Linked DNA regions of Saccharomyces cerevisiae S288C. Changing the gene in region 1 together with any one later gene gives a genetic interaction. Each region holds a gene or a part of one and is shown in the gene's direction. Other genes may lie near its edges.

The links. Genes that interact genetically often act in the same process or in processes that back each other up.
Region 2: mutations in COA6 (region 1) and PNT1 together harm fitness more than expected from each alone (negative genetic interaction), as found in Saccharomyces cerevisiae (2 studies listed by BioGRID).

The regions. Positions count from the first base shown.
Region 1 is NC_001145.3:758,017-760,668, reverse strand, and holds COA6 (Coa6p), read left to right. Parts: upstream 1-1,837; coding exon 1,838-2,152; downstream 2,153-2,652. Other genes in the region: long-chain fatty acid-CoA ligase FAA4, read right to left, coding at 1-862; YMR244W (uncharacterized protein), read right to left, coding at 2,352-2,652. UniProt on the Saccharomyces cerevisiae protein: Involved in the maturation of the mitochondrial respiratory chain complex IV subunit MT-CO2/COX2. Thereby, may regulate early steps of complex IV assembly.
Region 2 is NC_001147.6:819,067-822,826, forward strand, and holds PNT1 (Pnt1p), read left to right. Parts: upstream 1-1,956; coding exon 1,957-3,228; downstream 3,229-3,760. Other genes in the region: DSE3 (Dse3p), read left to right, coding at 1-1,092; RBL2 (Rbl2p), read left to right, coding at 1,388-1,708; putative serine/threonine protein kinase HRK1, read right to left, coding at 3,522-3,760. UniProt on the Saccharomyces cerevisiae protein: Probably involved in mitochondrial export. Confers resistance to the anti-pneumocystis carinii drug pentamidine. May act by the removal of pentamidine, or its damage targets, from the matrix by an active-transport mechanism.

The DNA.
Region 1 (2,652 bases):
CAATGTTGTAATGTGTCAATACCACACCCTTTGGTGTACCAGTGGAACCAGAAGTGTACATGATACAAGCTGGATCTTCAGGCTTGGGGAAATGCAATTCAACCTCGTCCTTGGCCTTTTTACCTATCTCAATAATTTCATCGAAACTGTAGATTTTTATGTCCGGTCTAACTTCCTTGATTTTGTCAACAGCATCCTTGGCAGCCTTGTAAAGCTTACCATTTTGTCTTTTGTCACTTGGATCGATGGGTTCGTTGTGAATGACGAATTTTACGTTCTTGGCGGTTTTCAAAGGAACTGCTAATTTGGACAACAGCTGGTTGTCCGTGAAAATGGCGACGGAATCTGTTTCCACCATGGAGTGAATCAAACCGCTCTCACCCAAAGTGTCGTACGCGGTGACCACAGGAATACCTTGTGACATGCAACCAAGAAAAGTTTTCATCCACTTGTGAGAAGTAGAGGCAAAGATGTGGAACTTGTTCTCACCGTTAGGTTTAACACCAATCTTTATCAGCCCACGTCCAATGTCGTGCATTACGCAGATCATCTCCTCGTATGTCATGGTTATGTAGGGAGTCAGTTCGTAGTACAACCATGTTTTTTCGATGGGCTTATCCTTACCATCCACCCTCTTGACTATGGTTTTTTTCGTCTCATGTATATCTATAATATCTCTCCATGCCATACCGTCTCTCTTACCACCCTTGGTAAAACATTCCAGGGCGAATTCGTACAGTGTAGATGCTGAGGAGTTTATGGGTCTAATCAAAGGCTGGTCTTTAACCCTGATATTTCTTCTTGGAGCGGTTTCATGCTCATTGGCGGCTTCGCCAACTGCAACGGAATATTGTTCGGTCATTTTGATGCGTACTTCTTAGTTTTTCAAGAAATAGTGAAGAACAGAGAAAAAAATGATGTGTTACTAATGCTGGTTCTTTTGTATTCTCGCTTTTATGTCAACTCAGAGGGGTTGCAAACAAAAGAAAGAATGATCAGTTATTGTCTATCTGTTGAGCCTTATCTGAAAGAGGTAGAACAAAAGATGGGCTGTTTTTGTTGGGGTAAAGCGGCGCCGCGAATGTTCTTAATGAGGTGAAAAGAATGCAGAAGAGAAAGATGAGGGCTAAGAGTAGAAAGAACGAGATGAACGAAGGCCGAGAAACACCCAGAATAGAAAAATAGATCGCCGACAATCGAGGGTTCTTAATTGATGGGGACATCGTTGGAGCTTATATAAGTTTGCCGCTACTTGGCGAAGATGGTTGAGCTGGGCGGTTCGGTTTGCGCTTTTGTCTTTCTTGTTACTAAGTATGATTGTTTTTTGTTGGGAAACGGCAAAGACGCGCAGCCAAAAAGCCGAACAGTTTAGTGAGTCTCTTCTTTAAGCGCCCAACACGCTCCATCGTGTTGGATAAAGCGTATGCAACAATTATTTCGGCATCGAACCCGCGGAATAAGCATCGGCTCGGGAGATATTTTTGTTTAGTTGGTATTGTTATCGTGTATAAATTTCTGTCCCTGTGCATTGTGATGTAAATGGCCTATTGTATTGTCAGGTCCCTGTCCGTTCCTTGATGGTATATTGGCACCTGAGCAAATCCAACAAAACCGGGCTCGCCCGCGCGGAAGAAAGTGCGATTGACGATTGTAGCTGAGCTGAACAAAAGAGACGGACATGTGAAACGGTGCTGCGGTGGTAGGTGCTGCTTTGTAGAATGGGGGAGAAGATTCGCCTACATACATACATACATACATACATAGACGGGTACTATTGTAGCGCTGCGCAGGAACATAGATACACGAATATACAGAAAGGAATAGTAGTAATATAGCGATGGGCTTATTTTCATTTGATGGTGGCAAAAAGGAATCACAACCCCCTAATACCCGTTCACAGAGAAAGTTGTGCTGGGAGTCCAGGGACGCATTCTTCCAGTGTTTGGACAAGGCAGACATCTTGGACGCAATGGACCCCAAGAATAGCAAGAGTATAAAGTCGCACTGCAAGGTGGAAAATGAAAAATTTGAGGAGAATTGCGCCCATAGCTGGATCAAGTACTTCAAGGAGAAGAGGGTCATCGACTTTAAGAGAGAGCAGACCATCAAGAGAATCGAGCAGGAAGCTAAACAGAGGGAACGAAATCAGTGAGTTTTTAGTGAGTTATTGGCTCATATTAACATATATATTCCCATAAAACATTTGACAGAAAGGTAATAATTAAAGGATAGTCATGTAGATACAAACGAAAATTTTATGTTTTTTTCTTCGTTTTGCGAAAATTCGCATGAGTGTCTCTGTATATATATATAACAAAAAGATGAAAAAAGGGAAGGTAGAAAAAACCGCGCTAAGTTTTGGCAGTGACGGTGACTGTCTTGTACTTGGTCTCGGTGACCGTTGTGGTAATAACGTCTAGCGGATTCAGTTCTCTCTTGCCTTTAGAAGATGAGCCGCTACCAACATCAAAAACTTCGATGTTGGCCTTGGCGCCGTTTCTGGCGGTGACAACACAAAAGTTTCCACCACCAGCCCCGGAAGAACCACCGCCAGAACTTGTCACTTCGTTGACTCCATTAGAACTTGGGTCAATGGAGCATGGTAGGCCTTCACATTGTGATTCGTCATCACAAGTAATTCTAATACCGAAT
Region 2 (3,760 bases), on another chromosome or scaffold:
AAACGGTTAGAGTCTGTTCCAGAATTGTTCTTACATGATTTCAAGAAGAGGCCACGCTCCCAACTTGAGGTGATTAGAGAGAAAAAATTTACTGACATGCAAGTTCCCAAGGGACCAGTTTGTCCTCAAAGCACGATTCTACCATTACGAGAAAGAAAGAAGGTAAAATCACTACCAATTCAAAGAAAAAGTTTACGTAGGCCGACGCTGTCAAAGCCTGCAGTAGTACAATCTTTAGGGCATAAGACACATTCGGATCATATTATTGATAAAGTGTTTGTCTCTCGCCCGGCCCCAATTGTAATGCCTGTAAAAGCCCTTACTCCTATTAATCCGGTCTCCCTAATGCAAACACAGACACAAGATTGCTGTAGAAAAAATAAGTATGGCAAAAGCGGTAGTGAAATATTGTTTGACGAAATTCTATCAGCCTATGAAAACGTTTCTACAAGCGATTCTACTGCCCTAAATTCAGAAATTGACAGAATTATCGATATATGCGCTTCAAAACAAATAGCTAAAAAAAATGAGGCATTTCAGGTACCATATGTCGTCTGCCCTGACGACACAGAGACTTTGTTTTCGTCAACAACACCAAAGTTGAAACCTGTCAATTCTAACACATTAAACGATGTCATTTCTAGCCCAGAATACACCACGTCTGGATGCAGTACATACTCTGACCAATCGAATTCAGATGAGGAATTGTCCGAAGTAGAAAGTATAGTATGGAACACGAATAAGAGGACAATGAGATCATCCATTGTGTCTGAAAGCACTAGTGAGGAAGGCTATTGCACTGCTGCGGAGACTTTGCCCTCAACAGTATCAGTGGAAGATCTGGATATACATAACAAGCTTCCAAAAGTTGCACAAACATCATCGTGCAATACGCTTTTGAATAAACTCTCTATAAGAAAATTAAAAAAAGTAATTCTCGATCCGCCTAAAATAATGCATGTCATGACTTTTGACGATGACAGTGATGATGGAGATGACAACGATGACGAGGATAGGGCTTTGAATATTCTTCAAAAAAAAATTGACTGCATTGAAATAGCAAGTTGCAGCAGTAGCATTTACAGCGAATAAAAAAATTTATTCTAGGTTTCAAGTAAAATCATACGTATATAAGTAGAATAATGGCATGAGCGGTGACACATTGTGTATTTGCACCAGAGGTGGTCATCAATAGAAAAGTGTCACAATTTCAACGATAAATGGCCGCTTATGTCGCACCTTTTGTAGTATTACCCGCAAAGGATCATAATGAAGAACTACTATGGCTACATATAAACAGAGCAGTTAGATACAGTGCGTCTTATAAGGGCATTTTTGAGCATAAAGCACAACAGGTTGAACTCAAGAAAACTACATTTCACTATCAATGGCACCCACACAATTGGATATAAAAGTCAAGGCCTTGAAGAGGCTGACTAAGGAGGAAGGGTACTACCAACAAGAACTGAAAGATCAGGAAGCACATGTGGCAAAACTTAAAGAAGACAAGTCAGTTGACCCATATGACTTGAAGAAACAGGAGGAGGTCCTTGATGACACAAAAAGATTATTACCTACTTTATATGAGAAGATTAGAGAATTTAAAGAGGATTTAGAACAATTTCTAAAAACTTACCAGGGTACCGAAGATGTCAGTGATGCAAGATCCGCTATTACGTCTGCACAGGAATTACTCGATTCTAAATAATCTATAGATAACCTTTTTCTTACCTTTTCGCATTTATTTTGATGCAGGTTTTTATACTTTATTATGTACAAACCTGTTGCGGATGAATAATAAATCTCGCTAGAAAATGCACGGAATATTATATGCAAAAGTAGAAAAGTGGAAGACGGCTGTTGATACAGTGACGAGATATAAGAACATTTTACTCTATATTTAAAAAGAACTTTATTAATCTATTTAATTGAGTTAACACCTTTAATGCCATCGATATGGATTCTCGAGTTGCACTGGTACGAAAATACATAGCACCATCGGTGATAAAAAGCGATTCTATTCAATTGCACGGTTTAGTGAAGGCACCACTATTTAAAGCGTTGAATAGCCGTTACAAATTAGGTTCACTACAGATAGTACAGGATGTCGATTGGAATGCGAAGACAACACCATCCGATTCTCCAGAGCCTCTGGCCGCTACTCTAAACTCTAATCGATCCCTACCAATGACTAAGTTCCCCAAGCAGGAGATCTTGGAACAGGTAAAATTGGATACTAAGGTTGGCAAATGGAGGAAATTCATGACAGGTTGGTTTAGAATTGGATTGTATCTTTTAAAAAGCTATAAAACAGGAATTCAGAACACGTTAAAAGTATTCTGGGATACTCGAAACGAAGAGCAGAAATTCAGCATAAAAAACGGTGCATTGGCTAACTTAGTACGGGAAATAGAAATGCATGAAATCAATACAAGACTATCGTCTTCATCATTGCCTACAAGTTCTTCAGCAAAAGCCCCATTAAGGCCACTTTCAATCAATAGGAAAACACTGGTGGAACTGATCAGACGAGATCAAATCTGGAAATTACCTGTATTTTTCACCTTAGTATTCATATTTGAGGAGGTAAGTGTATTGATCTTTACCTTTTTTCCACGTGTCTGTCCGTACAATTGTTTAACTCCTGGTGGATACAAGAAGCTTTCCAACTCATATATCAAGGGAACAACAAGCACACAAGGTAACTACGGTCTGGGTCCCTTAGAGTTTACTAAGCAAGGTACAATTAAGTATGAGCCACCATATGCAGTTCCTATTGAGAATTTGTATAATTTTCTGACAAGCTTTCCTCAAAGTATGATATCAAACTGGAAACTGTATATTTATAAAAAGTTAAAATTACAGAAGCTACTTTGCAATGAGATAGAAAAAATTTACCAGTATCTGTTTATCGATGACTGGTTGCTGTTGCAGAGTATACTCAACACTGATGTTGAGAAAACTAAAATCGCGCTAAGTGATAGAGAATTGGTTAACTGTATACTTGAAAGAAAACTTTATCACATGGGCGATGACTTGAATGAGATGGTTAATGACACGTTAGGGAAAGAAATCTTACTGAAAAGATTGTTTCTTTATTGGACATTAAGATATAATGACACTATATCCTTAAACGGAAAGCATACATTCAGTGAGAAATGGGGTGTCAACAATATATCATTGTTAAAATATAATTCAGAATTGGTAGCTACGAAAGATATTCAATAGATGTAAATATTCATGACATTATCTATGCTGTACATATTGTTTAAAACAAAAACTCTTTTAAACTTTTCTAATTGCAAATTCAAACAATAATTCAGTGATGTTTCTTGCTTTTGGAGCAAAGGGCAATGTTACTCTATATTGTATGTATAATATGATAGATACTCTTCCGTATATATAGTATATAGATTTTCGTCAAGCGTTTCAATTGGAAAGTGAAAGAAAAAAATAAGAAAAAATAGAAAATACAATTAAATTAATCGAAAAAAGAAGTGAAAATAATTGAGTAGTTCGTATTAAACCTTGTAGGTCTCTAAGTGAGCATTTTCCTCCCTAACCAATGTATGGTGATGGCCAGGCGCTCTAATAACTTTATTTTTTGAATCCATGGTACAGGCAGCAATGGCGGCAAACCATTCATCATTAAAAATATCATCTAAGGTTGCTCTTTTCTTTGGATCTACTTGCAGTATACGGGACATGATAGGTCTTGAAGCATGTGGTAGTAGACGTAATAGACGGTATGGGCCATGAA